3 linked regions of the Cricetulus griseus genome follow. The protein of the gene in region 2 purifies or fractionates together with the protein of the main gene of each other region. This does not show direct contact. Links are inferred from orthologs where the notes say so. Each region holds a gene or a part of one and is shown on either strand. Other genes may lie near its edges.

What was found.
Region 1: the proteins of Rad9a (region 2) and Hus1b purify together in Homo sapiens (co-immunoprecipitation; 3 studies listed by BioGRID and IntAct, counting the BioPlex papers as one, with this or other methods). This does not show direct contact. The link is inferred for Cricetulus griseus from reciprocal best matches to the Homo sapiens genes RAD9A and HUS1B.
Region 3: the proteins of Rad9a (region 2) and Rfc5 purify together in Homo sapiens (affinity purification with mass spectrometry; 3 studies listed by BioGRID and IntAct, with this or other methods). This does not show direct contact. The link is inferred for Cricetulus griseus from reciprocal best matches to the Homo sapiens genes RAD9A and RFC5.

What each region holds. Positions count from the first base shown.
Region 1 is NC_048596.1:251,682,279-251,686,027, reverse strand, and holds the start of Hus1b (checkpoint protein HUS1B), read left to right. Parts: upstream 1-965; 5' UTR 966-3,749.
Region 2 is NC_048596.1:55,048,959-55,052,707, reverse strand, and holds the start of Rad9a (cell cycle checkpoint control protein RAD9A), read right to left. Parts: upstream 2,724-3,749; 5' UTR 1,569-2,723; coding exon 1,535-1,568; intron 1,455-1,534; coding exon 1,384-1,454; intron 954-1,383; exon of another isoform or gene 953-953; coding exon 824-952; intron 506-823; exon of another isoform or gene 475-505; coding exon of another isoform or gene 457-474; coding exon 342-456; intron 245-341; coding exon 145-244; intron 1-144. UniProt on the Homo sapiens protein: Component of the 9-1-1 cell-cycle checkpoint response complex that plays a major role in DNA repair. The 9-1-1 complex is recruited to DNA lesion upon damage by the RAD17-replication factor C (RFC) clamp loader complex.
Region 3 is NC_048597.1:97,330,599-97,334,347, forward strand, and holds the start of Rfc5 (replication factor C subunit 5), read right to left. Parts: upstream 2,479-3,749; 5' UTR 2,386-2,478; coding exon 2,327-2,385; intron 1,240-2,326; coding exon 1,175-1,239; intron 712-1,174; coding exon 575-711; intron 95-574; exon of another isoform or gene 1-94. UniProt on the Homo sapiens protein: Subunit of the replication factor C (RFC) complex which acts during elongation of primed DNA templates by DNA polymerases delta and epsilon, and is necessary for ATP-dependent loading of proliferating cell nuclear antigen (PCNA) onto primed DNA.

The sequences.
Region 1 (3,749 bases), about 200 Mb from region 2:
TTGTCTGGAGCCTCATGGCTAAAACTGGTACAGAATAGATGCCATCACAGCCACAGCATTGTCCCATTGTCTGCTTGTTCCTTTTTAGACAGGGATCTGAAGATACTGTAGATGGAGTTTAGAGTCTGGGCATGTGGGATGCAGGAGTTAGGTTTCTTCTGTGACCAAAGGAAACATAAGGCATGATTTCAGAAAGGTCATGATGTTACCATGTGAATTTCAGGGACAGTAATGTGTTGTGAATCTCAAGTTTTACCTACAGGTTTGTGTGTGAGTGCTTGGTCTTCAGCTGTGTCTTAGTGCCATTTTTTTTGTTGCTGTGATAAAATACCCTGATAGAAAGCAACGTAGAAGAAAAAGGCTTATTTTAGTTCACCATTCCTTTTAGGTCCATTGTTGTGGAGAAGTCAAGGCAGCAGGGACCTGAAGCATTTAGTCTCATCACACCACTAGCTAAAATCAGAGAGAAATGGATGTGAGCATGCTGCTTGCTTCTGTGTTCAGCTTAATTCTCCACAGTTCATGCAGCTGAGCTACTGGCATCGTGTATGGAGACTAGCTATGCTATTGAATGTCTTGCCATACACAGAACAACCTTTACTACAACGTTTAGTCCTGTCCAAACTTGGATTATTGCTGCAGTGGAGAACTCTAGTCTGGGACGAGAAGAACAAGATACTCTGGCTCTTCCTGACTTGAGAGAGGCCTGAGTGGCGTTTGAACATCATGAACATCATCAGAGCTCCCATCCTGGAGCAGGAGAGCCGGGAAGAGTGGCCATCAGGCAGGAACACTGCAGAAGTTGAGAGACTTGGCAGAGGCTGGCTGGTACCCTGGTTTTAATAATCAGTAAGAGTCTGACATCAAGCAAGACTATAAAAATAAAACAAGCTTGTTAAACACTGCAGTCTGAAGCAGAAATCTAGGAACACGCCCAGAACAGTTATTAATGTTCATGGTAACTAAAAATAAATAAATAAATAAATAAATAAATAAATAAATAATGGTATTTTGTGATGATTTTTTAGTTTTTGCTTTGCTGGAGATTAAAACCAGAACTTTGTCTATGGTAGGCTAATGCTCTACCACTGAGCCACATTTCTAGCCTGGAATTTATTGAATAGGAAAGGCAAATGCAGTGTAGAAATATCTTAGGCAAAATAACTTGAAAATTATAGATGCATTTTTAAAGTTTAAAGCCTCTTAGAAATTTCCTTTATGCATAATATCTCATTATTTGTGACCTCTAGTAAGTGAAACCTTGCTATATTTTGCAAACACATTTTCAAAAGCTCTCATTATTATCGGCCTCTATCATGGTATGTATTTGCAAATAGTTTCATGCTATATCATGGTATATATTTGCAAACAGTTTCAAAAACTATTAGAAAGTTTCTGTCCCTCCTCATCCTAAGGGTTTTGTAGGTCTCAGAAATCTTTTCTACTTCTAAGTAGTAAAAGAATTTCATTTTATATTTTTTGTCTCATATGTATATATGTGAATGCATGTGTATGTGTGTATAGATGTCTAGGGTTGACACCACACATCTTTGGTCTTCACCTTTACTTTTTGAGACAGCGTCTACCTCCAGACTGGCATTACAAGTACATACCATCATGCCTGCTTTTTACAAGGGTTGGGGATCTGGATGAGGTCCTTATGCTCAGTTGAGCCATCTTCCAGCACTTATGTCTTATTTGCTTTTCAGTTGTTGAGAGACATTACCAAGACAACTTCTAGAAGATAGAGTTTATTGTTGTTTACAATGTAGAGGGTGAGTCATGGCCATCATGACAGGGAGCATGTGAGCAAGCAGATAGGCATGCGGCAATGAGGCAGAGAGAGGGAGGGGGCAGGGATGGGGGAGGGAGAAAAGTGGGGAGGGAGGGAAATTGCACAATAACTGGGAATGGTTGTGGGCTTTTGAAACCTCAAAGCCTGCCCCTCAGTGACACCAACAAGGCCACACGTTCCAATCCTTCCCAAACAGTTCCACCACTTGGGGACCAGGCATTCAAATATATGAGTCTATAGAGGCCATTCTCATTCAAACCACCATATTTCATCTTTAATTTCCAAATAGCTGAAAATATTAAAATATACTGCTGCAGTTTAGAGCTTGCTTGCTACATTGGTCAGAGACTTGTGCTTTAAAAAGAAACTTACCAATAAAAATACATACAGTTCAAAAAAAAAGCATACAGTTGCATGATACTTCTTTCTGTTAATCTTTCTTTGGTAAATATGAATTTTAAGACGTAATATATATTTCTGGTTTTTAACTTTAATTCAGTACACACACATTCCATTAAAATACCTTTAAGTTTTAGGTTGCCCTTATATACTAAAGTTTGAGTATATTGTAAAGGTTATTCTTAAAGTTTAATAATATAAATATTATAAAAATACTTTTCAGTTTCTGTTCTGGAGCACAAAAAACTTGGATATCACTCCCGTGTGTTCCTCCAGTAAGGAAAAGCTTTAGATAAAAAAAAAATTAATATGAAATTCCCTAACATATCTCCTTCTTGTACTTACCGCATGGCAGACTGCTGCTGTACACATACAGAGACAAATAGGTAGATACAGAAGTTCACTTCTGTCAGCATAGCGGTTGCTTCTCCATGGTTGCTTAGCACTGGGTTAACTGTCATACTATGTGCAACATTTTGGAGAAAAAAACAAACAAACATTACAATCATGGTTAGGTATGACAAAGATGTGAGAATTAGCAGCTTACAACTACAATTACATGTCAAAGGCTCTAATTGCAATAGTACCTGATATAATAAGAGATCAGTGCCCCATCCTGTTCCATTCCATCTCATCTTATCACCCCATTTAATTCCAGTGTTGTCGCTCATCCCTTTGCTTCTCATTCCGTTATTGTATCCTATCCTATCTTAACATTCCATTCCATCCCTACTTCCCATTCTATCCCAACATTCTGTATCATCCCATTCTGTGTCATCGTTTTGTTCCATCCCATCCTAAACTTTCATCCCATTTCAAAATCCTTCCCATACCAACAACCTGCCCTTTCATCTGTGTAGGTCAGCTTTCTGTCACTACAATAATACCTGAGCCAATTACAAAGAGAAAAGGGTTATTTTGGTTTGTATTCTTGAAGTTTTGAGGCCAGGCAGCACATCATGGCAGGCATGCATGGAGGAGCAGCACCAATTCTCTCATGTTCTAGGGAGCAGAAAGAAATAGAACAAAGGCGAGGATCCCATGGTCCTTTTGAATGCATGCCCCAGTGGCCTGAGGGCTAGGCCCCACCTTCTAAAGGTCTACTTCACTTCCTAGTAGCACCACCCTGGACATCAAGCATTTAACACATCGACTTTTGTGGAACATTTTACATCCAAGCTATAGTAGATGCTGACCTTAACATCCATCTCATGGACTTTGGCGTCTGTAATGTGTTCAGTTCTAGAAGCAAGCTAGGTACCATATGCTGTGGTCCCCTTCTAATGGGAAAAAAAGTACAGGGGCCCCGTGGTAGATACAGCAAGTCTTGGAGTCATCCTGTATATGGTGGTTGCTGGGTCCCTGCCTTTTAATGGCTAGAACATAAGTAAGTACAGAAGCATACATTCCCTTGTGTCTGTGATGCATGAACATCTGAAATATTTGACCCTCAATAGTTTGACCATCAGAAAGATGAGCATGTTAGAGGAAATCCTGAGGCTACCCATGGACAAATGGAGGCCATGAAGAGTTTATGGTTTGAATGGGAATGGCT
Region 2 (3,749 bases):
CTGGTCCTCTCGACTCCATCTAAGAACAGATGGGATGACAGACATAAAACCATGCCTGTTGAAAATGGTGCATTCCCAGTATGACACTCAAAAGCCCCAAAGATGGAAGAGACTCAGGCTAAGCTTGAAGGAGGGTGTACTGACCGTGCTGGTGCTCGGAGCAAGTGGGGGCACAAGGCTGGGTTGAAGACAGCCTGCAGGGATTCACAGTCTTGGAAGGAGAGGTTGTGTGTTTTCTTGACCCCTGGATAAGGAAAAAGGGTCTCAGTGGGCTTGACAACTTTCATTTCACTCCCCCACACCCATGGAGGGAACTCTTGGCTGGCCAGCTGTGTGCTCACCATACTTGCAGTGGAGCTGGACCACAAGGTGGCTGTTGCTGCTACTGAGGGAGATGCAGCACTTTTCCACAGTCTTCTCCACCATCGCCAGAGAGCGGAAGACGGACAGGAAGGACTGGGCAAGGTAGGACATCAGCCTGGCACTGTGCCTCCATGGACCAGCTCTACATTCCATGTAGGTCCTGGTCCATCACTGGCCCAGCAAAGCTTTACATGGGGCTCCCACTACATGCAGGATGTCTGTACACTTCCAGGCCTTGTCCATGCTTTTCCCTTTGCAGGAAGGGCTGCTAACCTTTTCTTGACTAACTTGCATGTCACCACCCTCTCCACAGATCTTACAAACCTCTAAATTGCAGACATCTTTACATCACTGCATTTTGCATGGAATTGCTCCCATATGAGGCTAACTCCCTAGTAATTATTTACTGAGTACCCTGGCACAGAGGCACAGCTGTGGAGATGCTTCAGATGGTCCTCACCTTCATCAAGATCTTACAGCGCAGCAGGTCCTGACCAGGGGAAGCCGCCTGGTACTGCTGGAAGAAGAGCGGGACAAAGAGGAAGCAGGCATAGGCAGAACGGGAAGAGTTCACAGTCCTTAGAGAGAGCTAAGATACAAAAAAACAAGTAAGATAGGAGTTAGGGGCAACAGCAGGCCCACCCCAGCCTAATGGCCTGCTCTTTCATCCTGAGGCCGTCCTCTTCCATTGCTTACTGAAACTCCCTTTCTCTCTTCTGTGTAGCACGACCTCCTGCATGTGAACTTTCCAGTGTCTGCGGCCCAGGATCTGCCATGCTTGCTGTCCCCCTAAATTACTTCAGCACCACCCTGCCTGTCACTTTAGGGAGGGCACGTTCCCTCTGTACACACATGCAGCCTCGGAAGACAAGGCCCAAACTGATGCCCTCAAAACCCAAGAGGAAACAACTCCGCCAAAATACCTGCCCACCCTCATTATGCAAGGCCGAGAGCCAGCGCCAAGTCTAGGCTTCCCACTCCCCATTGAATCGCCCTCACCCCTGAGTTCGAGCCTCTTACCCCGTCCTTCAAGGGTTCCAGATAGAGCTCGTCCCCGATTCGGGATAGCGAATGGACAGCCTTGCCCAGCACTTCGAGGAGATCAGAAAAAGATTAGGGAGATTCTTCCGGCTTGCTCACGTGCCCCGCCGCCGGGTATATCCAAACTCACCCTTCACGTTGCCGCCGGTGATCAGGCACTTCATGGCTCACCAGCACTGAACTCGACCCTAATTTGCAACCATACCGGGACAGGACACGACCCACACCGAGTCCCAGCGGCCACTACGGATGACTTCAGTTCCCTTCCCGCGCGCCGTCCCCTACACACACACCCCAGCCCAGCCTCGGCATCCTTATTGGTCCACCCAAGGCACCTCCGTCACGTGAGAAAAACGTTCCTTGGCCCGGGTGTCACATGATTCAGTCAGTTCCCGGGGCGTGGCCTTTGTCACGTGACTCCAGAGTCAGCTCCTGACTCATTCATCAGGTCTAGGTTTCCCTTCCCAACCCTAACCTTCCACTCCTTGCAAAGCCCTGCAATTCCACTGGGCTCCGCTGGGCACACGGGACGAAGCTCCGAGGAGCAAGGTGCCTGCTGCACCAAGGATCAAGCCTTGGATCAGAGTCCAAACTTGGGAGGAGTAGACCCTCCCGGTTCCTTAACTTAAAAGGGGCTACAGGGTCAAAGCAAGACAGGCCGCGCTCAATCTGGGTTGAGCAATCTGTCGTGGCTGCAACCACCAGCTCCCCACAAAAGTTAACTTGCTTCAAGAGCCAGGCGAAGGAAGGGGCTGTTCATTCTGGTTTCACTGATCTACGTAAATGCATGGAAAGATCAGGTTCTGGGGCAGAAAAGGGTAGGATGGACCTGACAGGAGGTGCAGTGGAGTGAGGCACTCTATGAGTAGGGGCATATGGGTAGGTGGGGTGTCCTGAGCCTTGCAGGGGGTTTGGGGCTGAAGCAGTAACTGGGAAGGAAGCTCTGGGAAGGTTTAAGCACTACACATGATATGTGTGCACTTTACCATTTACCCTAGACAGTGTGAAAGGATGAGGGTTATCAGCTGGAAGGCATTCACTTGCCCTGGGTTAGTTCCCTCAAGCGTGGAAGGGGCTGCCTGGAGCCCCTTGCATTACCCCTGTGGTACTGTGGGTAATGGAGGGGCTCTGTTTATTACCCAGGCCCTCTTTGTTTTTCTGGGCTCCTCTCCCTCCCTCCTAGGAGGAAGTTGCTTTCCCTTTCCACATCCAAGGCAACCAGTGTAAATGTAGAAGCCTTCAGCTCATTAGACTAGGAATTAGCTGTTAGAGTCCTCCTCTCCCCACTTGCTCAGTTCTTCAGTAATTCCTGACTGCTTCATCTCCAGAACAGATGGCAGCATCCCGTCCCCCCTCCCACCCTCTTCATCTCTGCTGCCTTTCCTTCACCTGGTCAAACACACAGTTCCCAGTGATCTGCCTCCACTGCTTTAACTCTCCTGGCCAGAGTCCAGTCTCTAGATCTTGAACTTGCAGGATCCAGACCCCATCCATGTCTCCCCCTGTGATCACCTATCTCCAAAGTCCTGTCAGGCCCTTTGATGGCCACTTGAGCTGCTTCTGAGGCTGTGGCCTTCTGCCTCTTTCACGCTGGCTTCTCTTCCTGGGCTCAGCAGCAATGGTTCCCTTTGTAGCCATGGTGCTTATCAGTTTTCCTATGTGTTTAGTATTTGTGTTCTCTGATAGTGTGGCAGCTGCATGTGGGCAGTGATTGCTTCTGTTTTGTTTTTCTATCTGTGTACCTCAGACACAGCCTAGGATTAATAGGTATTAAGCCAGGTATGATGATGGCTCAAATTAATTCTTACCACTAGGGAGACTGGGAACTTGAGAGGCCAACCTGAGATACATAGCAAGACTCTGTCAAAAAAACAAAAACAAAAACAAAAACAAAAAGTTCATTTAAATATGTGTCACAGTTAGGCCAGGGAGGCAGAGGCAGGAGGATCTCTGTGAATTCGAGGCCAGCCTGGTCTACACGGTGAATTCCAGGACAGCCAAGGATACACAGAGAAACCCTGTCTCTAAAAACAGCCCCCACAAAAGGAAAGAATTCTACCCCCAGAGGCCATGGTGGAACAAGGAAAGGGCTGATTTCTGACTTCCACAATTGCTCTGTGGCAAGCAAGTGCCAGCACTCTCAAACACACGAAGGGGCTGGAGAGGTGGCTTAGCAGTTAACACTGGCTGCTTTTCCAGAAAACCTGGGTTCAATTCTCAGCACCCACATGGCAGCTCACAACTGTCTGTAACTCCAGTTCCAGGGGATCTGACACCTTCACACCAATGCATATAAAATGAATTTAAATAATTAAAAACACATTAATAATAGATGAAAAATAAAG
Region 3 (3,749 bases), on a different chromosome or scaffold from region 2:
TTAAAAGTGTTTGTTGAGTCTACAGCAATGGTTCTCAATCTGTGGGTCATGACCCCTTTGGAGGGACATCTAATAGACCCTTTCACAGGTGTCACCTAAGACCATTGGAAAATACAAATATTTATATTACGATTCATAACTAGCAAAATTACAGTTATGAAGTAAAAATGAAAGTAATTTTATGTTTGGGGTCATCACAGCACAAGGAACTGTGTTAAAGGGTTACAGCATTAGGAAGGTTGAGAACCACAGTTCTAGAGAAGCTACAGGGCTATGCAGTATTAATTGGCACCCCTAAATCTAGGGGGGGTTAACAAGAGCTGTGGGCAGGTAGAACAGGTTGTGGGGAGGGCACGGCCTCTGATTTGAGCCCTGTAGGAAGTGGAGGTTGCCCGGTATTAACACCTTAGTGAGTCCAAATAACATCTCTATTTAACCCCTCCTGCCCCCACTCAGATCTCGATGGCCAAACCCAACCAGGACACAGAGGCCAGGAAGGTAAAGAAAACTAGTGGAATGAAAGCTAAGAGTCTGGAGGTCTGAGCTACTTGTGGAGTGAGAATGTCCCATTCACCTCCAAGACCATGGAGCCGAATTCTTTATCTTTGTACAGCTGCTTGGCACAGGCCAGGATGGTGGATGTCTTTCCTGTCCCTGGAGGGCCATAGAGAAGTAGGTGTGGCAGGCGGTCCTCACTGATGAACTTCTGAACTAAGGCGGGAGTAAGGAGACAATGTCAGCCTTGAACTCACAGAGATCCAACTGCCTCTGCCTCCCGAGTGCTGGGATTAAAGGTGTGCTCCACCAATGCCCGCCTGTGGTTGCTGCTCTTACAGGTTCCTAGCACCTACACACCTACACTGTAGCTTACAATTGCCTACAATGCCACTTCTAGAGGACCCAATACCCTCTTCTGGCCTCTAGAGGCACCAGGCACACATGATACACAGACATGTATGTGTAAACAAAACACCTAAACAAAAAATAGAATAAAAATAATTATCTTTAAAAATTTGTCCTCGGAGGTATTTTAGTGCAGTTATGGAAAAGGAACCAATACACTCCATCCTACAAAGTCCAGTCCTTCCTTTACACTGTCTCCTAGCAGAGACAGCATCAACACCAAATGTATCCAAGCCCTCCCACAAGGACAACAACCGACAGGGATACTCACTGGTACTCAGAATGTCCTGGTGAGAAATGAGATCGGCCAGGGTCTGTGGTCGGTACTTTTCAACCCTGAAATGGGATTCAACACAAATTACAGCAGCATATACAGATGCAAGCCATGTTCTGCCGCATGCAAAGAAACGCCTTCACATCCCAAGCAGGAGAGGAAGAGAAACCCTTCCCATCTCAATACAGCCAGTGACTCTCACAACCAGTGGTGGGTTCTGTCCCCCGGGAGACATCTGCCAGGCCATTAGCTGTAATAAGTGGGCAGAGGGCGTTAGTGGCATCTGGTGAGTAGAAGTCAGGAGTGGCTGAACATCCTACATTGGGCTCCACCCCCACAGTGGGCCCCAAGTCAACAGCACTGAGCTTCAACTTGGATAGGCATGTGACTTTGAAAAGAACTCATACTCAAATATCCACAAGTAAGTTATGATTTAGCCAGGCCATGCTACAGCATGGAGCAACCTTGAGTTGGAGAAGCCAGACTCAAAAGGTCACAGTCTGTGACTCCATTCCTGTGACTTTAATGTGTGGCCCACGACAATTCTTCCTCCTCGGACACAGACCAGAAAAGTAGTAAGAATGGCCAGACAGCTGCTGTAGGACCGTTCAGAATGCAAGTCCTGGGGCCCGATATGGCTCAGCAAGCAAAGGTACTTGACGCTAAGTCTGAGAACCTGGGATCGATCCCGGGGATCCAAGTTGCTGGGAGGGAAGAACCCGGTCCTGTAAGTTGTCCTCTGACCTCCACACGAGTGCGCTGCTACACTCCCCTCCCCCACAAATAAAAGGTAATATGAAAGGAAAAAAGAAAGCAAGCGCTGAATTCGGATACCTGAGGTCGGTCGAATGCAAGCCTACGCACTACCCCCAGTTTCTGAGCTTTTCTAAAGAAAGTCAGGATCGATCTCTTAGGGTCATCAAAGGGCATTGGCGATGCTCTAGGCATCAGAGGATGGCTAAGCTGCGCTCAGGCCTCGGTAGCATGACTGTTGGGTATGGGAGCGGGGGAGCGGGCGGCTGCAGGCAAGGCTGAGGCGCCAAGGCCGGGTGTCTGCAGTGCCCACGCGGGCCGCAGGCCGGGAGCGGGAAGGGGGTCGTAAAGCTTCTAGAAAGAAGGGCGGAAAGCAGGATGCGGGGCCGCTCCTACCAGGGCAAGTTCCGGGCCCGGGCCGCCGCGGGCCGCTGCTCCGGAGGCACCGCCGCCATGACTGACAGATGCTGCGGGCCCGGGGCACCGACCTGCCTTACTCAGAGTCCGCGCGCAAACCAATCCTCGCGAGGCTTCGCCTCCCGCTTCCGGCTTCCTGCCTCCGGCCGGCCTCTTCCCTGTTGCTAGGGCTCTAGTTGCTAGGTAACCCGAGGCGCCGGCCGGCTGCCCTGCCACAGCTGGCTGTTCCAGCCGGAGCGGGCTGTCTGAGCCACGCAGGAGGTCCAGGGAGACCGCGCGCCGCGCCGCAGCCGGTGCCACCGCGGGCCTCACCAGGACCACATCCTGCCAGCGCAAGGGCAAGCCACAATGGAGCAGCAGGTTCCACAGCCAGAAACACTTCCGCGGGTGTGGGTACAGGCAGTGCGCCCTGGGTTCCATAACCAGCAGCACACAAACACGCGTGCGCACAAATACACACACGAAAACACAGTTACATATACAAGCATACATCCATGCAAACATATGCACAACAGTCACATACATATACTCTCACATACACATAAACACATTTGCACGCACATACACATACACATATAGACATATACACGAAAATACAATCACATATACAAACATACATACACAGATGCATATATATATCCCCACATTCATATACATGTACACTTATGCACACACATAAACACGTGCAGTCACACATACAGAAGCACACACTCAGACATATATACACACAAATACACACAGCTACATATATACACACAAACATGAATACATATAACACATTCACATACATGTACACTCACATACACACACTCACACATAAACATACACATGAAGACATCTGTGTGTTTGTATATATACATATGTATATATACATATACATTTATTTTCCCCTACATCAAGAGGATTTCAGACCAATTTTATTTTCAACTTTAAAATTTATTCAGCACCAGACATGGTTGTGCACACCTTTAATCTCAGCACTTGGGAGGAAAGGAAGGTGGATCTCTGAATTCAAGGTCTACAGATTGAGTTCCAGGGCAGCCAGAGCTACATAGTGAGACCCTGTCTTGAAAAACAAATTCATTTTAATTAATTAATTAGTGTGTTTGTGCTACTTGGCCAAAGGTACCTCTCTTCACTGAGCCAACTCAACAGCCCAACTTTCACCTCTTTTGCTGCTCTGTCTTTTCTATAAGGAGTGTGTATAACATCCACAATAAAGCCTTTATTATCATTATTATCATTATCATTATTATTATTATTATTTGCTTGCTTTTATTTTAAGGCAGGGTCTCACTTTGTAGCCTCAACTGACCTGGAGTTTGTTAGTATTCAGGCATCTGTACTGTTCTGCCCTTGGGATTCTGACAGGATAGGCCCTCAGCTGCAGCCCCAAAGAGCA